Linked DNA regions of Alligator mississippiensis. The protein of the gene in region 1 purifies or fractionates together with the protein of each later gene. This does not show direct contact. Links are inferred from orthologs where the notes say so. Each region holds a gene or a part of one and is shown in the gene's direction. Other genes may lie near its edges.

Region 1 (8,011 bases):
CACATACACACACACATGTATCAACTATGTATGAACTATGCACACATCTGTCACAAAAAATTAAGTGGGGAGAGGATAGAAAAAAAAAAGGGGGGGAGAGGAAGATGCAGGGTAGGAGAAGAAAAGGGAAATGTGCCCGGACCATTTGGGGTCAGGAAAGAACTTAACCCCTGGTCAGATGGGGACCAACTGGGGTGCAGAGGCCCTCTACCCCGGTGTCTTGAGCCTGTATTGACAACATTTCATAGAAGCAGGATGTTGGTGCTGTGGTTTCCCTGCATTATGCGTGGCAGATTCGGGTGTCACGTCTGTGTGGGTGGGCATCCTGAGTAGAGTTTAGATCAGGGTTAGGCAACCCCCAGCATGGGTACTGGAGTGTGGCATTTTGCAAAGGCATTTTGCTTGGCACATGCACTCGGGGCAGATGGTGGGGAAGGGACCAGGGCAGGATTGGACCCCTCATGGCTCCCCTGCCATCTGCTCCTGTCACACCAACATCTTACAAGTTGAGGTTGTGGGTGTTTTTAGCACTCTGCCGAAAAACGGTGCCAACGCCTGGTTTAGATTATGGATTGCGTGGGATGTTTGGATAGGGCTGATCCTGTCTCAGGAAAGGGGATGCACTAGATGACCTCTGGACGTCCCTTCTAGCCCTTGTTCCTTGAGTGTGGCTACTGGTCATAAAAATAACAGCAGAAATTAGGGTTTTTTTGTCTTCAACAGCGCTGGGCACACAGCCTGCACTTCAGGATAAACAGCCATAATCTGAGGCTTCCTATTAAAGAGGAAAACTGCATCACCCTAGAGGACAGAGAGCATCTCATGGGGCCCTAACTTGTCATGAATTAAAAATTAACAACAAATGGACAGAGAGTAAAACCACAAACACTCTAGGGATCTGCATCTTGGCAGATGGCTGAAACATTGCAAATGGAGGACAGATTTCTTGGTTCTTTGTACACTTTACTAACGCTTCATGTGCCTGTTTTTGCCAATAAAGTCATATTTAAACCAAAATAGTGTGGATCTTGCAAAGGAGGTTGCAGCATTTCATTGTAGGGCACTTCAGCCTAAGAGATTTAATTGTTTCTATAGTTGTAGCACGGTCTCTGGCTAATGCAGCCGCCTTCCTGACTCAAGAGCTGGAGCGCAGCAAGTTTCACAGTAAATCTGCAATTAAAACAGACTAAGAGCAGCAGGTTTTTAACTTGTGATTTGCTTGCAGAGGTTATTAGGGAAGAATAATGACAGTGCAGTGATAGCATTGGAGTGATGAGTCTATAAGTAATATTTGTAAGAGGCAAGATCATGATTTGGAAAATGACGTTACATTAAAACAATATTTTGTATTGCTTGAGACAGAAAGCTATGGGGCACGTCCAGCACCCTACAGGAAACATTGCAGCATTTTGTCTCTAGTGGGTTATGGAATAGAGAAAATCCCACACAATTTACTGATTCGTTTTGATGCACTGGCTGGGGAAGTATTGATTGCACGATTTCACAATGATTACACACTTAATTCATACAACACAATTTTATTTTAAAATTCTTTGCTACGCATATAACACTGCTTAGCTTTAAGAAATACCACAAAAATTAAGAACACAATAATTACATATATCAGAAACAATGCTCCGAATGCGCTTCCTTCTCAAACAATGCTTTAAGAATTAGTATTACAAAAACAACTACAATTACAACTAAAAGTTACACTTGAATCAATACTATTATTTGCATAATATACTTACAATCCTAGAATTCCGAGAAGCCAAACACCTAAATATGGTTTCATTCCTCAGTAGTACAATTTAATGGGCTGGCCTCAGCAGTACGATTCAATGGGCTGGCCACAGCAGTACGGTTCAATGGGCTCGCCTCAGCAATACAATTCAATGGGCTGGCCTCAATACTGATAGGACTAAGTCCCCTTCTTTCAGTCCCTTTCGGGCGCTCTGCAGCTTCAGCGTGAACTAAGAGATTCGTGTTCACGGAGAGGGTGGTTCAGGTGATCAGTCTGATCCGGTCTACGCTTGCGATTCTTCCTTCATTGTTCTGCAAGTATAGTCACCTCCAATTTGGGAGAGTAAGTTACGGTTTTTATTGAGTGAGTTACCGTCCTGGGCCACTCCTACTCAAACCTGTCATTACCCCCAAATTTGGGCTCAGATCTTACTCAACAGATTCTTTTGCTTGGTAATCAGTTTCTTTCTTGAAAATTCTAATGACTTTGGGGAACTTCCATATCACTGCAAGTGACCTTTTCTTTCCAATCTTTTCGAAAAGGCCCTAGGGTTAGATCTCTCCGCACTCAGGATATTTGCTTTAAGGATCATTTTCAGGTTCTCTTTGTTAAAGACTTCTAAAGATAAAATTCAAGAGTTAAAACTTTAAGCAAAGTCTGGATCTTCTACACGTAGTCCAAAACAATGACCTAGATAAGGAGATAAATCTTATCTTCTTTCTGAAACTGGCTAATGGGCAACCATTACAAACATTCAAACTAGTTCATTCAATATGACACATTTGTCTTTGGAAGAAAGCAGAAAAAAATTATTTATATTAAATCAAGCAGGTTTTTTTCGTCTTTAATTCTCTAGTAATGTTAGCCTCTCATTGCTTTCCCCGAGATCACGTGGTTCAGGACCTCGTTCTGCTCCTCCAGGGTTAACTCTCACTCCTGGAAGAAGAGCAGGGCAGTGGCCTTAGCCCCGCGAACTACATTTCCCAGCGTGCTTCACGCAGCACCCCACCCCCTGGTTGCTTCCAGCATCCGGAACATCTTTATTGGTTGAGTGCTCGGCTGTCCCGCCCTTCTACCTTTCTCTGATTGGTCCATTCAGACAGGCATCACCACGGCCTTTCGCAGCTCCTGCCCTTTCATTGGCGAGAGCGGCGCCGTTGAAATTTGAAATCCGGCGGCGGCGCGCGGGGCTGAGGTGGAGGTAGAGGTGGACTGTGGGCTCGGGCACCCGGCCGGGCAGGGCCGCTCGGCAGGCAGGTAGGGCCGGGTCAGGGCTCGCATGCACGGGCAAGTTCCCCCTTGCACACGTGCTCTTGCACACTCGCACACAAAGCCACACGCACGCCCCCCCTTATTGTACACGCGCACGCAAGGACACGCACATTCCCCTGTCTTGCACACTCTTCCTCTTGCACACGGGCACACAAAGACACATGCACACTCGCCCTTGCATATGCACACACAAAGATACGCGAACCCCCCCTTGCACATGTACTCTTTCACTCTCCCTCGCAAGGACACACACACTTCTGCCTTTTGCACACTATCAACTCTATATGAACTATGCACAAGTCTGTCACAAAAGTGAATAAAGGGGTGGAGGAGGGCAGTGTGCCAGGGCTGTTTGTGGTGAGGAAGGGATGTCTCCCCCGTGAGATGCAGGGGGACGTTGCCTTCCTCTGTAGTGGGGCCTGCCTCGGGCAAGGGCCGGTCGAGATAACCCCTGGAGGTCCCGTCCAGCCCGACTTCTGTCTGACTTCTATGACTAATATTTTAATTAGCAAAATAATCTAAGGGTTCTCTCTAAATTGCATAAACTTTTCAAAACGGTTAAGCGTGCTGGATGTGATCCCATAGGTGCTGACTGCTGCTCGTCCTACCTGATTTCCACCCTTGGGCTAAGGACAGAAGTTACACGTGAACCAGTTTAAGTCATCAAAAACGGGTTTAAACCTCTAACGGAACAGAAGTTCAATGCACATCAACCCGTTTCAAAACGTCTGGAACTGGTTTAAGATAAACCGGGTTGAATGTAGTATCAGACTTAGCTGGTTTGGGTCAAACCAGTTTATGAAACTTCTGTCCCAGGCGCCTGAGATGTCCTTCTCAAATGCTGTAGTGTATTTGGTCACCATGTTGGCTTGAGACAAAAAGAAATGCAAAAAATCCAGAACTGTTGCTTCTGAGATGATGCCTTTTATTAAACCAACCGAGAAATTGCAAAAAAAAAATCTTTTTTTCAGCAAGCTTTTGGGCTCACATGCCCTTCATCAGGCTCAGGGAAAGTTAAAGATGGTAAAAAGTCCCCATCGGTAGGAAATCAACTTCATTTTTGCACAGGGGAGGCTGAAGCTAGAAATCTGTCCCTCTGGGTCCATGAGAGTGTCTTTGGGATGTGCTCTTTGTTGTGCAAATCACAACAAAGTAGAGGGGTATCAGACATGTCCCATGGGCCAGATAGCAATTTTCCCCAATTCTCACTTCAATGGGACATATCCCTACAGTGACAGCCACGGTGAGTGAGACCCCCAGCACAGCCCTGTGGCTCGTTCCTCCTCACCCAGTGGCAGCCAAGCACCGAGGATGTTGATCCCCTTCCTGCCAGGTCCCAGACCAGCAGGAGCAGGGGTCATGTGCCCTGGATCTGGCAAGGAGCGTGGGGATGGGGAAATGGCGCTGATCCAGCCCTTGGGGCCAGAAGAATTTGATATCCCTGTTGTAATACAATCCCGTGTGTCACTAATAACTGAATCCTTGCAGCAGGCCTTGCATTCATTGGGGATTTACAGACTGCCCGTTTGCCAAGGGTATCAGCGCTGCATTTGAAACCATGTTGGCTGTAGTTAGTTTTCTTTCCAAATACTAAGTTTTTCTATGCAAAATGTGATCTGAGTTGTATTGGACATCAAGAAATATTGTCAAAAACTCTGTGTTTCACTCGTGTTTCCAGGACCATCCCAGCTACAGGACCACTCCAATGCTACTTTGAGACTTTCTGTGGTGTTGTGCATGAGCCCTATGTCGCTCTCATTAGGTTTTAAGCATTAGTTAGGGTTTAGACTGCACATGACTAAAGGTCTAAACATTGGTCACAAAGGCAGACTAAGACTAAAATGTCAGCAATACTTGTATGCTGTTTGTTGCCCAGATAACTGGATTAGTAGTACTGGAGTACAATAATCCCATTCGTGTCTGCTGCAAACTCATTGCAAACCTTAAGCATTCAGGATTTGTGTGTGGCTTTGTCTGTTGTTTCCTAGACAGTCTCCTTCGTCTCAGGGCACCCATTGGAAAAGGCCAGCTCTTGGTTGTTACTTGTTTTTTGACTACAGAGAAATAATAGAGTCATTCTTTGGTTGTAAAGAAGTTGGAAAGACCACAACAGAAGAGAGTGCTTTTAATACTATGGGTTCCTATTTGAAATTTTAGACAAGGTTCTTTGGGTGAATTTATCTTGACTCGGGCTTGCACGCCGAGCAGTGATTACATTGTGTGGCACCCTTGAAAAGATCTCAAGGCAACCCAGGGTGCTGCAACATTGGCCTAAACTGTCAAACCTGAAGCGGGGTCTAGTATTTCAACTGGGCCTCTTCTAGCTTCAGATTGGGTGCATGCACTTGATCTGAAAAACTTGAGCTGACTGCCTGTTCAAGAGCATCACTAGAAAGCAATCCCAGACTGGTACTTGTACTTAACTATCCCGTGCTCAAACCCAACACAAATGGTGAAGTTTTGTATACATTGTACAGAAAGCTCAGTGATGGCTTTCACAGCCTTAGCTCTATCCCATTCTACACCCAATTATGCAGTAATATCACAAGTATAACAGGAGCATAATTGTATAAATAGACCATAGAATAGCACTTACAGCCATTATCTAATGTATGCAGGTAAGATCTTACTCAAATGTTGAATTAAAGTAATTTGCTATCTTCAGCGCTGCTGGAATTCCACTGACCATGTCTGTAATTCAGCTAGACTTCCTCTGGCAAATTGAAAGGCCAGTAGCAGTTAAACTGTTATTTTAATGATTCAAAATACAACAAAAGAGTCTAGCGAAGGGCTACAAAAATGGTTAGCAGGCTAGGGCACATGATTTATGAGGACAGGCTGAGGGAACTGGGCTTATTTAGTTTAGAGAAGAGAAGACACATACAGGGATTTGATTGCAGCCTTCAACTACCTGGAGGGCAGTTTTAAAAGAGGGTGGAGCTGGACTGTTCTCAGTGGTGGCAGATGACAGAAGTTGGAGAAAGGGAGGTTTAGGTTAGATATTAGGAAGAATTTTATCACTAGGAGGGTAGTAAAACACTGGAACAGCTTACCCAGAGAGGTGAGGGAATCTCTATCCTTGGAGGTTTTTAAGACCCAGCTAGACAAAGCCTTGGTTGGCCTGATCTAGTTGGGATGGTCCTGTTTTGAGCAGAGGTTGAACTAGATGATCACTTGAGGTCCCTTCCAACCCTAACTTTCTATGCTTTCTATATGTGACGGGCTAGTTGGCAGTGACCTAGCCCAGGGGTTTTGAAAGGGCAAAAGATGATTGGAGGACTTGGGATTCCCTTTCCTCACCAATCTGGTAATGATTTGGCCCAGGAGTTTTGAAGGGGTAAAAGATGATTGGAGGATTCGCTTTCCTCACCAGTCAGGCCCCAGAGACTCACCCTCCGTGTCCCCTGATTGGTCCCTTGGGTCACCTGAAGGGGGATAAAAGGGGCAGCGCAGCTGACTCAGGGGAGACTAGCCAGGGACCACAAGGAAGGAGATTCAAAGAGCTGGGCCAGTGGGGCGGGAGCAGTTGCCCCAGAAGAGCCTGAAGGAGCGAGACCTGCAGGCAGCAGTTGGACCCTCAGCAGCGCGGCGTGCAGCCAGCCGAGAGGCATCCTGCTGGGCTCCAGGATCATTTATGAGAGGCTGTGGCTAGCAGGAGAGGCTCCCCAGCTCCAGCAAAGATCTGAGCAGTGACCTGAGAGGTTCCCAGCCCTGCTTTCAGTTCCTCCAATAAGAGGTCTGGCAGCTTGTCCTGAGGCTGGGGCACCAGGAAGGTCAAGCCCCCAGCAGCTTAGAGCAGTACTAGCACTGGTGGCTGGGTGGGAGAGTTTCTGCCTACCACATGGGAGATCAGAGTTCAAGTCCTAGGTGGGGTGCCTTGGGGTGAGTGAGCTAACAGGGAGAAATTCTTCTTGCAGTAGAAAGGGGCCATTGTGTTTTCCCCCTTTCTCCCCCTCCAGGTACTTGGGCCCTATATTCCTTGTCATTTGACATTTTGTATTTTGTGCCTTGTATATTTTACCAACCAGTATTGTTTGTTCTGCTGTTTGTGTTTTACACTTTGGTTAACCCTGTTTTTTGTCAACTGGATGACTGTCTATGATTGTAAATGTCTAACCTTTGTTGAATCTTGCCCCCTCGGGGCATTGTAGTGTCCCCTATACCCCCTGGTTTATACTGGTTATGTTCCCAGTATTGTTCTCTCATTAAAAGGTATATGGTTAAGTCCCCATTGGTGGTCTGGCTCTGCTCTATAGGGGGAGGAGAGTCCCTACACCTCCTACAGCGCTTGTGCACCTGCTTTGATCCCTTCATTTGGAGAGGGGGTACCTCTTGGAGTACTGCCCGGGTTACATATAAAATACCAACTTTAATAAGCATTGTAACTTTGCCATCTAATATAATGACTGTACCTACTTGGTAATTATGCTAAAAAGCATTTTAGCAGAATGCTTACTAGGGAGATTTTTTTTGTCCCATGCCATTCCAATAGATCCAGCTCATGCTAGCCAAGAAATCTACCTCACTTGTTGCTGTCCCTGTAAATTTCTCATATCGGATCTATCCAAAATCTTCTAGATTTCACCATAGCGCCTCACTTTAGTCCAGCGATAAACAGTCTTGTAAAGACACAGTCGCTTGTAAAGGATGTCGTTTAAGGCTTGCTTTCTCTTTGCTCTAAAGTAGTTTCCTTCAGTCTTACCCTTGGTACAAGTTCTAGAAGTCAGTGTACTATAAATTATGACTTTTTTTTTAAACACTAATAAAACATTTCCATGGTAGAGGGATGTATATAGTAGGCTTCTTTTAAAAAGATAATACTGTATGGAAGTTCATTGCTTTTATCTGTTTCTTATGCCAAAATTATATTCAAAATAAGAGCATACAGTCATATGTGCCTAACTAGAATGAATCTTTTGGGATTAATAACTAGCATTACTCTAAGAAGTGAAAACCTGCATGTGTTCAGTACCACTTCCCTAAACTGATATTAAG
Region 2 (8,011 bases), on another chromosome or scaffold:
CTTATCTGACTGGCACTGGGGTGGCATGGGCACTGAGGTGCATGGCTGACAGCCCAGAGGTTGCAAGGTCAAGACCATAGCAGAAGTGCTCATGGTGCAGCCCTGTCAGATTCTAACGAATCTACAAGTTCTGCAAAATGCCTTGTCATACAAGGACATGAAAAAGGAAGGAAGTGTCTGACTTCATTTTAATTAAATGGAAAAAGTAAATGTTTTAAATCCAAATCTTAAATGGAATTTTGTTAACGAATAGGATGACCATCCATCCCAAGCAAACCTGAACACTCCCGGCTTCCCTATTCCAGTCCTAGCTGGTTGGTTGGAAGTCCTGGAGTGGAGCCTGCCAAGGACGCGGAGCAGTTTGGTGTGCCTATTGGCTTGGCAGACACCACTGCTGCTGAGTGGGAGCAAGGTGGGTGGACTGAAGCAGGGTGGCTTTGGGGGACATTACTGCATTTACTCAAATTCAAGACAAAGTTCCCCCCATTTAATGGGGGTGGTAGAAAAAGCCCCTTGTCTTGGATTTGGTTTACAAGGTTTAGCTGTTGTTGCTTTAGCTCTAGCCCTGGCCCTAACCTAGGGTTGGAGCCCAAGCTAAGGCTGCTGTTTGTCCCTGTCCCCATCCCCCTGCTACCTCTTTCCCTGTCTCCTTGTACCCCACAGTCTCTGCTCCCCTGTCTGTTTCTTCCCTTTCCCTGCTTTTCCCTCCTCTTTTCCCCCTAAAACTCCCCCTATTGCTTAGCTTGGCTCCAGCTTCAGCAGGCTCTAGCCTCTCCACAGCCTGGGCCACAGCGCATGTTTGCTCCAGCCCCAACCCCAGCCCAAACATAGGATAGTGGGGGAGGTAAGTGGTGTGGACAGACAGGTGGCAAGGGCAAGGTGTTGTGGAGCAAGGAGCAGGGAGCAAGCTGCTTGACTTCCCCTGCTGCCTACCCTTCCCACTCCCCCCCCCCTTTTTTTGTCAATGAGAACTTGAATTTTCTTATCATTCTCATCAAACCAGTCCTGATATTTCTTTGTGGAGAAGCCTAGAGATTCTTCTCATGACTCAAGCATGCCTTTCCTGAGGCTTTCCCAGTGATCAGTGGTGTCAATATCATCAGTGAGGTTGGAGAGTACTGCTGGAAATAATTGCTTTTATCAGGGTCTTTCAAGCACTTAATAATATTGAACCTCTTCTTTGGTTGTTTCTTTTGCTTACACCATTTTGGGGTGATGAATGGGCATGATGGAACATATTGTCAGGGTGTCTTCTTCATTAACCATGCCGGGCTGGGCCAAGCACTTGAGCCAGCACACCTGCCCTGATCCTTGGTTAATAAGATTGCCCTAGTTTTCTGTGGAGGTGAGCAACTGGATGGACTGCTGAAAGCACCACTTACCCCTTTTAAGCATATCTCTGCAGTGTTTTGAGTAGGGGGTGCATCCATGATGTCTTTCATTTCTTCTGTAACTGAATAGGGAGTTTGTAATGATAAGACTACATTCCAAACACTTGCTCAGAAGGAAAATTCCATTTGAATTGACTTTTCCCACCCCTTCCTTTCCAAGTGTTCCTTTCCATAGTTCAGATTCTCTGCCCAGTGTAGCATTGAAATTCCCAAGAATGGTCTTATCTTTTTTGGGGGCAGATGACAAGACTTGGCTGGGTTTAGAATAGGATTCTTCCTTAGTTTCATCATGTGCAGCCAGGGCGTAAGCACTGATGACTGTTGCATGTTGTCTGTTGGTCAGTGTAAAACAAAAGGTCACGAGACACTTGTGTATGCCAAGCGGACATTTCGCATCTGAGTAACAATTTTGGTCCAGATAGCAAAATCAACACATGGCTTTATCTGCAGCAACACTGAGATCTTTATATGGCCTTTGTTGACCTAAGGCCTTTGATTCAATCAACAGAAAGGCCCTTTGGAAGATACTGATGAGATTTGAATGCCCATCAGAAGTTGTTGCCATCATTAGATTTCTTTGTGATGATGACATGATGAGAAAGTGTAAGCTGTGGCTCAGAAATTAATTCCTTTGCTGTTAGAACTCCTGGAGTCAAGCAGGGATGCATGATTGCACTAACATTTTCTTCTATCTATATTGCAGCTATTTCATATCTCATTGCTGCTGGGCTTCCATCTGGAGTCAGCATCCAGTACTGTGTGGCTGGGGAATCTCTTTAACATCAACCAGATAGGTTCCAAATCCATGATAACCAACATTGTCATTACTGATCTTCAGTATGCTGTTGTCATATGTATCCACTTGATCAAAGAGATCCAGGTCACTCACTGCTTCTGTGAAGCATGTGAAATGCTTAGACTTATTGTCAACTGCACAAAAAAACAAAATACTTTTTTCAACCTGCCCCAAAACAGCCAGCTGCTCCCTCCTCCCCCACACATTACAATTAGAGGGTAATACTTGGAGAATTTTGAGTATTTCCCTTACCAGAAATGGAAACGTGGATGATGATGATTTCTAGATTCAGCACTGAAAAAATCTGCCATTGCTGCCTTTTGAACATCTACAAAATTGTGTCCCTGATCATGACATCAGGACCCAAACCAAAATTCTTGTCTGTCAGGCTGTTGTTATCTCTAGCCTGCTGTGTGGGTGTAAAACTCGGACAGCTTAACAGAAGCCCCAGAGAGCTTTGGAGTGTTACCACCAATGATGTCTTCAGAAAATCCTCTACCTCAATTGAAAGGACAAAATAATGAATATTGGAGTTCTGGCTCAAGCAAAGATCACCAGTGTTGAAGCCATGTTTATATATAGCACCAGCTCCATTAGGCAGGACAGGTCATAAGGATGCCTGACAAATGGCTCCTGAAACAGGTCCTGTACTCGCAACTTGCCAGTGATCACATTTCTAGAGGTAGGCAAAAGAAGAGCTTCAAGGACAGCTTAAAGACCAATCTGAAGAACTGTGATATTGACATCAATACTTGGGGGACCTGAGCTCTGAATCATCCCTGGCTGAGTATGACAAGGCATTGACCATTTTGATCAAATTTGTCTCATTATGGAGGTGAATAGGTGAGAGGGACAAAGGAAAAGAGCTGAGACCCAGCATCACCAGGATCCACTTCCTTCTATAACTGTATACCATGCCTGCAATCAACATGCAGATCTTGCATTGGTCTCCTCATTCATCTCCAGATTTATTAATGACTTCCCTATTTATGGAAGACTGTCACCCTGATATTGAGGGACTGCTGACTACATGGAAAAGTATAGCATTTTAATAGATTTTTTTATATATAGAATCTAATTACTGGGTAGTTGTTTTAAATTCAGTTTTGTCTTGGATTCAGGTAAATACAGTAGTTGCTACTGAGGCTAGCTTTTGCTAGATAGAATGCAGATTATTTTATTTGTTTTAAGGGGATTCCTAATATTTTTTTTCCTTTGGGTTGTTTGTTGTGATTTGTTAGACCTTCATATAAAATCAAATTGCCTTATTTAATAAAATGTGCTCATTTTGTAATCCGTGTAATCATTAGTTTGAAGATTGTTCCAAACTTCTTTCAAATGCTGCTTGGAAAGTGATTTTTAAAATATATCTGGCTGTTAAATTACTTTGGTATTTAGTCAGTAAACATTCTGACCACAAGTGTCAAAGAACAGGCCATATTTTCTAGGTGAAGTTGAGAAAATGATCTGCTGATATCATTTGCTAATCATATGTTTTGCATTAAACGTCACAATAAGGCATAAATTAATTTGTGAAGGGTACAAAGATGTTTTTGCATGACTGTTCTTCTAATATCCAGTACAGTGACTCTCAGCCTTTTTTGGTCTTAAAGCACCCCCCTGGAAAGTGCCAGCTCTTAGCCTTCCCTCAGTTTTTGATTATGAAAAAATAATATAGCAATGCTGTTCCAAAAAAAATTAAAAAGACCACAACAAATGTTTTTGACACTGGATTCCTATTGAAAATCTCTTGGTTTGTCTTGCGAACCATGCATACTAAACAGCCCAAATGTTGCATGGTACCCTGGAGGATGCTGCAGCACCCTGGTGGAGCATCAGTGGTGTAGTCTCTTATATAAATTGAGACTATTGAGAAATAATAAATGAATATAAAATCAAAAAGTCTCTTTTAAAAATTATTTAGAATTCTGAGTTGTTTGTACTGCTAGTGTTGTAATTGCTCCTCTTCTATGCAGACATTCTCTGAGAAAAAGCATAGGAAGCATTAAAGAATGATATGTTTGGATTCATAAATCTCTGCTTTGATTTACTTAAAGTGATCTTAGTGCAAGACTACTAGTCTGACAGCCAATAGAATGCTTCAGGCAATGAAATTTTCTGCTCAGACTGTCTCTGAGCCTTTTTTTACCAAACATAGATACCTTGAGGGATTTGGGATAATACAGTTGCTGAGATTCCTCTTGGATGAGATGTTTAGTTTTATGTGAAGGTGATGCAGAGGGTGGGCTTAATGAGTCAAAAATGTGTAAAATGTAATTCTTAGTCCCTAGAAGTGTTATTTATTTTAAGATACATTAGTAATCTTATGTATTGTTACAGATAATTTTTATTATTAACAAGGCTTGTTAAGAGTCTTATGAATCTAGTTCAATTAAAAAAAAATAGTTGCATAGAGTAAGAAGTGTATTGGTTATATTTCTATGTGTTCCTTCAGTTATTTCTTTTTCCTTCCTTTGTATGAGGCAACTAGAAACATAGGAAGATGCATGTTTTGTTGACTTGTCTGATGGAAACATGAATTTTTCACCGTATAAAGTTAGATGAAAATTTCTTCATGTTGGTATTAGTAATCTCTTATTCCCTTCATGCTATTTTCCCCTGATATTGAAGGAAAAAAACATATGGATGATCTGAGGGGTAATTTCTGAGTTTAACTAAACAACTTGCAGCTGTAAACCTTTTATTTTGGATATATTTATCTGTTCTTGAGTCATCAAGCCAGATATTTTGAAACCATTAATTTATTTATTTTTGAGATCAAAGTTGGATAAAATCAGAAGTCTAACTATTTTTTAGAGGGTCTTGATGATACCCAATTTCCAGTTGCCTAAATTAACTTTTGGCATATAATTTTGTAAAACAGGGTATAAATTATATTTAAAAAAATAAATGAAACCCCCCCCCCAATAAAAAATCTTGTTCCACGTTAATTGATAACACTTGGTGAGTCAGCTTGTTACTTGCTAGTTTCTGCCAATTTCCCCCTGCTTTTCTTATTTTCTATTAGAGCAGTGTTGTTCAACTATTTTAAGGTTTGCTTCATTTTCTTTTTCTTTTCCTTTTTTTAACCAAGGACGTGAGCTTCTCCGTATAGAAAAACATTATAATTCTATACTTTGGAGTATCCTAATATTAAGTATTTTATATGGTTTTCCTTTCCGACATTACTTATTCTAGTATTTTAGGCTTATTTATACAAAGTAAAAGTTCAGTATACTATTGTATTATTTAAAAAATTCTAAACGTAATTAAACTTTTAAAAATCATTACCAAAAATAAGACCAACCATAATCTTGTACAAGATAATTAAAGAATTTCTCTCAAATGACAGATGGAGATTGCCTAGCTGGCAACATGGTATCTTATTTCAGTTGTCTGTGATTCCCAGTGCCCTACTAGCACCTCCTAAAGGGAGGGTTGTGTGCTTTTGGAAATGCAGTGCAGGTTGGGACCATGCTGTGCCCCAGAGCAATGGGGTTTTCATTACTTTGAGGTGATGTAGCTAGAGCAAGGAAAAGAGGGTCCAAGCAGTAACTGTGACGTGATCAGCTCCTGAGCTGCGTGAAAGCTCAGAGTTCCCTGGTATGTCAGCATGCATGAACACTGCTGCTGCTTATAGCCCTTTTTCCCCATCACTGAATTTAGTAGCAGGGGAAAGGAGGAACTAGTAGCAGGAGTGTTCACCCATGCTGACATGTTGGTTGACAATCAGATGTTCCCACTGGCTTTGCATCTGGCTCTGTGTCTGGCTGGTGGACTGAAGGTTGAGAAGCACCATATTAGTATATTAAGATAGATAAAGTACAACCTGGATCTTTGCAAGTTTAGGTTCCTTACTGTCCTGTAAAGATGAGGGTTTGAGAACTAGCCACAGCAAACAGCACTGAGAGACTCCTGAGGTGCTCCAGCCATTTATTGCAGCTTTCATTTTAAAGTACACCCTTTCTCCAGCCAGCTGTGTGGAGAAAGAATGTAATTTGAAGTAAAAGCTGGAGTGAACAGTTCAGTGCATTGATTTTCAACCAGGGTGAAATGTGATGTTACCACTTTTATGTGTGCAAACTTGGGTTCTTAAGAGAAACCCAGAGATTTCAAATAGGAATCCAGAGTGTCAAAAACATTCTGACCTGTTGTAGTCTTTTGGAGTTATTTACAACAACAAAAATTGCTCTATAATGTTTGTGCACTCAATAAATGAACAAAACCTAAGGGGTGGAATTTTGAGGGGTGCCTCAAGTTTAACAAGGTTGAGAACCACTAGTGTAGTTGGCTTTATCTTGACTTGGTAACTTGGTGCAAATGTAAGCAGGTTGGGAACCATCATTATATAAAGGTCTAGATTCTACCACACCTTATTTGCCACCTTATGGTTTCGTTAACTTTGACATCCTTAATTTCCATTTTGCTTCTTGTTGGTCCATTCGTATCAGTGCAGTGAAGTTCTTTTTCACAAGTTACTACTTCCTGTTCTTCATCACCTATTTTATAATTGGAGTGATAGTAAAACTGTAGTTAAAAGCATTAGATAATTTTTGAAGCTTAAGGTTTTTCATGATTTACTTCACTCTTCCTTTACCTATTTCTCTGTTACAATTTGTTATTACTTTTGCTCATCGTTTTGCCGTACTGGTTTAAGCCAGCTTCGCCACTCTTTATATGGCTTCTATGCTTAAAACATTCTCTTTCAGTATCGCAGGGGTCATTTTTTCTTTTCAAATTAGTTTAAGCTAAACTCTCAAACACTAAAGTACATTTTCAAAACATTAAGAAAAGTTGACATTTCTCTTAGTTTCTTAGGTTGTCTGTTGAGACTGTTAGCTGCTTGGCATCAAAGATCTATGTACAGCTTCACACAGAGCACACTGCTGGCTATAGGGTTAGTGCAGCAAATTTTGATGCAGATTGGTACATAGCGAACATTTCAGTGAGGAGGTTACCTTAAACATTTTAATTGACAGGTCCATTGTTTTTGCACAGTGAAGTGTACACACCTGTACTTGATTTAAAAAAAATCACAAATCTAGTTTGACAGGATTTCATATGGAATTGTTATTGATCTTTGCTGTCACACTGTTTCTTTGAATGAGACAAGCAAGGTTCTTTGGGTAGATGTAGCTTTTATTAGGCCAACTAAATAGTGAACTTTTTCTGTAACTGTATTGTAGTCAAGTCTAACACCTGTTGGCTATCAGCCTGTTGCCATGTAAATGATTGTCACCAAAACTGCAAAAACATGAGGGCAGAACAGATGGGCTGCAGTGGGACAAGCCCTTTTTTAAGCCTCATAGCATGGGACTGAGCATGAAATGCACTATGAATGGATTTATGTAAGACAGGGGTGTTGTATTCACCCAGCTCCCTGAGCTGGATCTAAATTGGCAATGGTCACCACAGGGATAGACTCCACCCATCGCTTAACCCCTGCTGCCAGCATGTACCCCCAGTGGGATCTCATAACCCAGATTTCAATAGTAGGCATAGTTTCTCTAGGAGTGCTGTGGCTGAGTGACACAGTTCCACAGTCCTGATCCCATCCTACGGGCTGTGCATTAGGTATTGCCTCCAGGTTAAGTCTTCAAATACACGAAGGGAAATTTGTAGAGAGAACAGATGTAGGCTTTTCTCTGTGGCTGTGCGAGACAGGACTAGGTTAAGAGCCTCAAGCTGCAACAAAGGAAGTTTAGGTAAATGATAAGGAGGAACGTTCTGACTGTAGGGGTGGTCAAGCATTGGAACAGGCTACCTAGAGAAGTTGTGGAATCTCTGCCTCTAGAAACTAAAATGTCTCTTATTACAATTCAGG
Region 3 (8,011 bases), about 210 Mb from region 1:
AAGGAGCAGAAGCTATATTCCTTTCCTGAGTTCTTTGTCCATTGTTTTTCTGGCACTTTTAAATATCTCTAAATAACTACTAATGAATCTTTTAAATTGGGCAAAATAAGATGGGTAATGGATGAAATGCTTAATCATGGCACTGCAAATACAAGGCAGGATTGCTGCTACCAGTGACTCTTTCTAGATTCTTCCTTATGAAGGTCTAAAATCTCTTTACAGAGGTTAATGAACTTTGCATCAGTTCTGCTGTGGAAGTGGAGGATGTTACCACTATCCCTGCAGGAAGTAATTTCTCTCTGTTTATGAAGTAAGCCATGCAGAGAATAGAAGCAAGATGTTCTGACAGCTGGTTCCTCACTATAAACATTGACTTTTGAATATACTGGGGGGAGAAAGGCAGTGCTGAATAATTGAAACATACTGCCGTTTCTTTTCATGATGATAGTTAACAACCTGTCTTAAAATCTAACCCCATTTTCCCATAATTGTAATTTTCCAAGAGCATCTATGTTTGTGACTGAAGTCCTTCACTTTAGACTCTGCCCTGAGATTACTTTTCCCTTAATCCCTTCAGCTGTTGAAAGTGAGCAGGGTGAAAAGGACACCTGTGTTGTGCCTGCATGACAGATTTTCTACACCAAATTAGTTCCAGCCTACACCAGTAAGGCTTTTTAGGTGTGTACATATGTTCTGTTGTTTTACTGGGGAGATTCTAGAGCTGCATAAGTACATATCACACCTAATGCATATTCAACTACATCAGCAGGAAGAGCTGAGTTCTCTTTTCTTGTGTGTACATTTCTGTGCTGCTAGTACCAAACAAATGGAATTTAACTGTAAACTAACCAAATATTATATTGTCTTTGAACAATAAGAAACCATAATATGAAAAGCTCACATAATGCTAGCTTGTCCTCCTGCGTAGCATGCCGTTTTATAGTATTTAGCAGTCCTAATTACTAAATGATACACTACTACAATACACCTGTTGATGCCTGTAGCAGAACCTAAATTCACCACTGTTTAGCTTTAGTGAAAGCATCGCTGCCAGAGTGAAATTTGGCCATGTACATTTACTGGAGAAATTAAGATTAAGCAGGATACACATAATGGTTAAAATCCTACTCTAAATACATTCTAGATTTTTGTGTTTAATACAGTTTTTTTAAATGAGTAGTTTTCTAGACTTCTAATTCTAGACAAGATTCGTACTATGCTTTCAATCAGGGATTCTCAAACAAGCTGTTAGGGTACCCTGGGGTGGGGGATGTAAGGAGATCAGTGTGGGCTCAGTCTATTCTCTACCTGGTTGCTGCCCACCTCCCAATGACCAGCCTCTCTGCAGTGAGGTTAGCACTGTAATAAATTAGTTTTTGCAATAGAGTGTTGCTCAATTCACAAAAGCTAGGAGTCTATAAAAAGGTAGAAAACCAATGCTTTAAATGCTTGGATACCACAAGTGCAGAGTAAACATCTAAATCTGTTGATTCTGCCATGTAAAATTTATAGAAAACTTGTCCCTGATATCTCAGCCCTGGAAAGTAAATACAGAAGTCTTAATCCTGGCACAATCAGCAAAACCAAGTCACATTCTGGTAAGAAAGTGAATTCAAAAGACCAGATTTTTGCTTTTATTTGCACCTGCACCAAAGTTATGGAATCATTTTTTAGGTCCAGTGTCTTGATGAAGTTGGTATAAAAGTTCCATCTCTGGCAGGTGAGTCTTCCTCATGTGACTGATTCATTTTAATACTTTGAAGGAGTCCTCCTCCTCCCTGTCTACCAAGCCCGCAGGCCACTGGGAGCACCTGGCAAATTTCACACCACCCAAATTGAGCAAGTCAGCAAACTGCTGGCAGCTGTACTTGCATAAGACTTGTAAGAGTGGTTTACATGGGCGAGTCTCAACCAGGGTGAAGTCAGGGTAGATCTGACCAAGACAGACTGTGAACACAATATTTCCTGGGCTGGAGCTCAGGTCATCAGATACTCTGCTTTCAGCATATCCTTTCCCAGCATCTGATGAAGTGAGCAGAAGCTCAGAAAGCTTGTACTTTCTCTGTGCATCATATATCCAGGGGTGGATCAGGGAGAGGTGCACTAGTGCACTTGCATCCACCCACCAATCCTGCTCCACCACTTTAAATCAACTGCCTGGCAGTAGCAGCAAATCTAGTCAGACAGTGCTGAGGTAGCTACTTGACTTTCTGTTTCATTCTAATACACCTGATTCCTTCTCAACTCTTTATTCCAGTTGTCAATGACCCTCTTCCTTTTAATGGTTGTGATGTTCCTCCCATCAATCTAGCCTTTGTTTTGCAACTCTGCTGTGTGTTAGGAGCTTCATTCCCACAGCAGCCAATTCATAGCCCTGCAGATTGTTTTTTTAACTCATTCCAATGAAGTTATATTTGGTTTTACTTCAATCCTAAACTGAATAATCCAGTTCTGGCCCCCTATCTTGTAAAGGAACCTTCCTATTTTTATCTAGAGAAAAATGTGTTGTATTTTATGTGCTGATGCCCTTCAGTCTGTACCCTCCCTTTCAAAATCCTAGATCTGCCTATGCTTATATCTAGATGTATCGCTACCCACTAAACCTTGTGTGCACATACTCCCATCTAGTTCATCTAAGAGGGCCCCTGTCACTCAAACTAAAGCTGGATAGAACCCAGGTATAAAATTACTGCATGTTTTCAAGCACTAACTTTGGAGCTGGTTGTGTATGCTCATGAAGTGATCATCCCTTTGCAAGCACGGCTGGCCTATACTTACTGTATGATTCACCATTGTGTGACATGAGTAACATGTGGCAGGGGCCTAAGGCAGCCCAGTGCCCCTCTGAGGCAAGGGCTGGTTCTGGCCATGCCACTCTCCCTGGAGGCTGGCAAGTTGCAGGCCCGCACCCTAGGCTCAGCTAGGCCGGGCCTAACATCCTCTACTGTCTCGAGCCTGAGGCCTCCTGCAGCTGCCCCTTTAAGAGCACAGCTCCGTGCGTGGCACAAGCCGCGTTCAAACCACCCAATGAGGCGGTGGGGGCGGGGCCGGCGGCGGCCAATGAACGCTCAGGACACTGCGAGGTGCGGGCGGGGTAGTGATTTCAAACCCTGTTGCTGAGAAGGCTCCCGGCTGCCCGCGCTCGACCAAGCCGGGCCTAGGTGAGCGCCGCTACCCGCTCCTGCCCTGGCCAGCCCAGCCCAGCCCCTCCCCTCCCCTCCCGCCTGCCGGGGCCCGAGCGAGGCGGGGCGACCCCTGGGGTTTCCCAGGTGCCGGCCGCCGCGCGCGGCCCCTCCCCCCTCGCCGGGCGCCGGCGGCGGGTAGCGGCAGGGGTAGGGTCACGGACGGCGCAGAGCCTCGATGTCGCTGCCCGTGGGTGCCCCGGGGTTGGCCGGGCCGCTCTAACCGGGCCAGGGCCTTGCGGCTCGGTGACGGCCGCTTCTGCGTAGCGCGTGTCTTAGTCTCCGGTGGGACGCGGGGCCGTCGGGCTTCTGGGCAGCCGCATCCTGCCGCTTGCCTGCGGCTGCTCCTTGGCCGCAGCCTACGTGCGAGGAGTAGGGATCCACGAGGCGTTCAGCCGGGCTGCTGGCTGTCCGGGGCCCGCCTCGTCTGCCTTGGAGCCACAAGGTTTCTTCAGCCCCTGTGCAAGCGCCCGCTGGAGCAGTTTGATTCCAGCTGCCTGGCGGTGGTTCTCTGTTTCTTTGGCTAAGAGGCAGCTGTCGTCATGGGCACTAAATTTCAGGGCTGCATAGAGAATCCGAGAAAACGGGAGTGGGAAGGGACCGAGGAGGCAGTCTAGCCTTGTGCAGTGGCTTTCAATCTGTGGTCCGTGGATCTCTGGGGGTCTGCAGACTGTGTCTAAGGGGTGTGTGAAAGATGATTGTGATCCATGAAAAATACGCAAATACCCACACTTACAATTCAGAGGGGGCTGCACCTCCGCTCCAACTTCTTTAGGAGTCTGCAAAATGAAAAAGGCTGAAAGCCACTTATCTAGTGGTTTTCAGCCTTGCGCAAAGCAGCACCGTCCCCAGTGATAATCATCCCAGCCAGTTCTGACTCCTTGGGTCTTAAAAACCTCTAAGGATGGAGATTCCATAGCCTTTCTGGGTAGCCGGTTCCAGTGCTCTACTACCCACCTAGTGAGACAGTTTCTCCTCATATCTAACCTCAGCTTCCCTTGCTGCAATCTGAGATTGTTGGTCCTGTATGTTGCATAACTCTTCCAATTCTCATTTGCAGAAGGAATAGAGCTGTTTGTTTTGTTGTTGGACTGTCTGTAGTGAGAGGGTTTTGCTGTGCTGTCAGCAGGGTGATACCATATGAACTTTGAGTTTACACAGAGTCTGTCTCTGCAGCCCATGGGCCCTCAAAGATGCGTATTTAGAAAGATATGCTGGCAGGTAACCTCTGGCCAATGCTTAAACCTAAAAAAAGATTACCAAACTTAATATGGGTAGAGGTGTGTTTGTCATATACTCATGAAATACAAGTGATGAGACCAAGAAGATGGCAGTCAAGTGAATAAGCACTGTCTGTGTAGGTATTGACTTCTCAGCATCCAATGCTAGATCAGCTGAGCTTGTCAGAAGTTGACCTAATTCTGTGCGTCTCTTTCCCAAGTTTGGCCTTGTTCTGGTCTCCTATGCTGCAAGGATAAGGAAACTTCTGTTTTGAAAACTTCCATGTATTTTCCTTGACCTGCAACTTTTGTTCTGAAAAAAAGCAATTGTTACATCAAAGCATACTGAGCTAAATACTAGCCAGGATAGTAACCTGTGCTTCTAACATGGCTCTCAACAGAGGCAACTAAGCTTGGAGTTAAAAAACATAGTGAATAATTTTCAGGAAGCTCAGAAAACTAGAGGGTGTGTGTGTATGTGTGAGTAAGATCTGCATGCAATTAAAAGACCTAGATTGTTACTGAAGGGTGGAAAACTGGTGAAACTGGCCAAATTATCTTAAACATTCCTCTAGAGATGTAAGGTGTCCTATATTTCTTGATGTATTGGAACCAAATACATGCATTGTAAAACATAATTCTTTCTTTTTTTACGTGCATGTTTCTCTTCTGGATTGTGATTTAAGGCATTTCCATGCTAACATTTGCTCTCCTTCTGTTATGATCTAACCACCTAAACTTTACATATATGAAAAGATGCTAGTTGCATGTCTAATGACCCTTGACCTAAAAGCTGTCAAATAAAAGCATGAACCCCAATTTTGCTGAGCAACATCTGGAATTTGGGCCCTTTACAAAGAACAGAGGGGGAAAAAACTGGGATTTGAATATCTGAGGGAGAATAATTATAATTCTCTCCAGTTTGTTAACAGTCTAACTTGTAAGCTTCCATGGTGAGCAACTAGAGAGATCCCAAGCAGCATATCCATATATATGAGTAACATTAAGGCACTCAAAGTTATGATGCTGCCAAAAAAGAAACTCTTGTACAGAAAGTTACAATATGCATCTGGTTCCTTCACCCCTTCTTCCCCCTTCCCTTTGACTTTGTTATAGGTTCAGGATAACTTGGTTATTTTTTTTATTCTGAATTTCCTGTATTCTTGTCTTAAAAAACCTCTAATGTTCCATACATTCAGACCACTGATGTACTATGACTTGGTTTATGGATGTTGTGCAAAGTTGGGAAGGAACTGAATGGATGATCTCAGTCCATAATAGCCTTGTTGTTTTCGTTCTGGCATCAACTTAACTGTTGCAGGTGCCTTACAGTATAGAACAGCCAAGTGTGAGCCTCCCCTGTGACTCTTTGAGGTGGGGAGAAGCAGTCTAAAACGTGCTGCAGGAAAACCTGGTAGATTTACAACTAAATTAAACCTTGGCTGTACCATGTGGACAAGGCTGTTGTTTTGGGCATCTGTCCAACCTAAGGAGACTGGAGCTGAGTTATTGCAGATCACTTGAGGCTGGGCATCTATGCTTTGAAGCAAGGTGGCATAGAAACAATTACTTAAGTAGCTTAGTTACAGCAACTTCCAAACATTCAGTAGAGGCAGCTGTTGTGCTCTTCAGAAATCTGGGCCCTGAGCAGAGTTTGTGCTGGTGCCCAGAGCCAAACCCCTTTCTTCAGGCTATCTGAGCAGAAGGCTGGAGGGGCACAGTCTGGCATAAAGTATGGATACTTCCATTGTACCAGGCTTGGGTGCAGCCTTCATTCTAGAATGGGTGCCTTGATCTCAAACAACAAAGGAAGTGGCATTGACAGTGACCGGTTACACCTTCAAGTGTTTCTTGGAACCTACTCTGTTTTTCAGGCTACAGGTTTACACCCCTAGCCTAAGATCTTATCACTTCAGCCCTTCACTGCCACCCCTGATCCCTCCCCAGTGCCAAGCTGTAATTCTAAATCTCATTAAATGGCCTTGGATACTGCATGCCACGCAACTTGGGGTGGGGGGAGGGGAATGACCCATCTGTCACCATTGTACACAAATGTTGAAAAACTTGCTCGTGGCTTTTAGCTATATGTTTTTGGGTGGGGGCTCCGGCTAAAACCCTGTGGAGTATTGAAGTTTGAGGCTCTGATGCATGAATTCCTCCTCCCAGACAGCACCCCCCATGCAGCATGGTGTTGGTTGTTGCTGGTCCAGGGAGTGGCTTCACCGCCAGCAACGTGGAGGAGTCTGTGCCTTGTCAAGGCGGGACGGGCCGGTGGCTTGGGGCGGCCCACGCCCTCTCCCACGAGAGGGAGCCAGGCGCGGCTGTGCAGCTCTCGAGGAAGGCAGTAGCCAAGGCTCCGCGGGGGCGACGCCGGCTCGTTGGGGTGGCAGGGAGGGGCTGGAGTTTGGGCAAGGGCGCGGGGCGGTGAAATGCCGGGAGGAAGGGGGCCCGATCGCCTTTGTCTGGCACATGCAGCGGCTCCTCTTCTCCTCCCTTCACTCCCAGGTATGGCGGGAGGCGGGGGCAGGCGGCGCCGGCTGCAGCGCTCCGCGCCCCGCCCCGGAGGAGGCGCCTCCTTCCTAGCCGGGCTCAGAAATGCAGCTCCCCGCCTGCTGCTGCTGCTAAGCGGGGCCGCGCCGCGCCGCGGCTGTCGGTGGGTGAGTGCCCGGCTTGCTGCGCCCTGGGCCACGCAGGCCCCGATCGGGGGTGGCGGCTGCGCTGTCGGGGCCCTCGGGGCAGGGGAGGCTGCGGGGATAAACAATGCGGGGCGGGCGGCCTACTCGGCTGCAGCCGGCCGGCTGGCCGGGGGGGGGCTCGAACTGAGCTGCAGCCCCCGGCCGGGCCGAGCTCCTTGGGCCTGCGGCGCCCCTCTGCTCCGCTCGGCTCGGCTCTGCTTGCTCGCTGCAAAATGTCCGCGAGCTGCGGCCTTCGGGGGAGGTGGGGCCCTACTGGGCATCGCCGGGGGGGCGTCTAGGGCCTGAGCTTTAGGCAGGGGTTGTGGGTAGAGCATGAGCCGCAGGCTGATGAACGGAGCAAGGACACTGAGGGCTGCCTTTTCAGAAGGCCCGACGGGAGTGGGTTGGGGGTGGGAAAGGAGAGCTGCATGCATGCCGTTGGAGGGGGAGGTTATCTAGTAGGAGGCAGCTTGTGATGGTTGGGGGGGGGGGGGTCATTCAAATGTGTGTGACATCCAGACTGCTGCTGAGGAGGATTCAGTCCTTTCTGTAGAACAATTTTAGCTTGCCTTGTACCTTAGCTTTGCAAACATCCCATCTTTGTGGGAGGGGTATGGTGAATAAACACTATCCTACCAGTAGCTGCCGCCCTCGTTGTCCTCCTCAGACCATGGGCCAGGTTCTGTCCATGTTGGCCTTTTGTGGGTTTTAGCCTCTGGATTCAGGTTCTCTTTTGCTCTTTGCTGTGTGGGATGGTCAGTTTGCTGCATACAACCTCTTTTCCATTTTGTAAATGTGCTTGCCAAACCACATCAAAGAGCCTGTATTGAAATCTGCCAGAGAAAGTAGCTGGCTGTGTTGTCATTGGCCTAATTTATTGAGCTCAAGATTTTGGTGAATTCCCATGAAGACAGGTGTATAACAAGTGACTTGC

What was found.
Region 2: the proteins of TACC3 (region 1) and ENAH purify together in Homo sapiens (co-immunoprecipitation; 3 studies listed by BioGRID and IntAct, with this or other methods). This does not show direct contact. The link is inferred for Alligator mississippiensis from reciprocal best matches to the Homo sapiens genes TACC3 and ENAH.
Region 3: the proteins of TACC3 (region 1) and CKAP5 purify together in Homo sapiens (co-immunoprecipitation; 5 studies listed by BioGRID and IntAct, with this or other methods). This does not show direct contact. The link is inferred for Alligator mississippiensis from reciprocal best matches to the Homo sapiens genes TACC3 and CKAP5.

Annotation. Positions count from the first base shown.
Region 1 is NC_081825.1:17,676,586-17,684,596, forward strand, and holds the start of TACC3 (transforming acidic coiled-coil-containing protein 3), read left to right. Parts: upstream 1-2,898; 5' UTR 2,899-3,001; intron 3,002-8,011. UniProt on the Homo sapiens protein: Plays a role in the microtubule-dependent coupling of the nucleus and the centrosome. Involved in the processes that regulate centrosome-mediated interkinetic nuclear migration (INM) of neural progenitors.
Region 2 is NC_081824.1:180,331,716-180,339,726, forward strand, and holds the start of ENAH (protein enabled homolog), read left to right. Parts: upstream 1-3,202; 5' UTR 3,203-3,217; coding exon 3,218-3,225; intron 3,226-8,011. UniProt on the Homo sapiens protein: Ena/VASP proteins are actin-associated proteins involved in a range of processes dependent on cytoskeleton remodeling and cell polarity such as axon guidance and lamellipodial and filopodial dynamics in migrating cells.
Region 3 is NC_081825.1:227,538,221-227,546,231, reverse strand, and holds the start of CKAP5 (cytoskeleton-associated protein 5), read left to right. Parts: upstream 1-3,064; 5' UTR 3,065-3,161; intron 3,162-6,969; exon of another isoform or gene 6,970-7,059; intron 7,060-8,011. UniProt on the Homo sapiens protein: Binds to the plus end of microtubules and regulates microtubule dynamics and microtubule organization. Acts as a processive microtubule polymerase. Promotes cytoplasmic microtubule nucleation and elongation. Plays a major role in organizing spindle poles.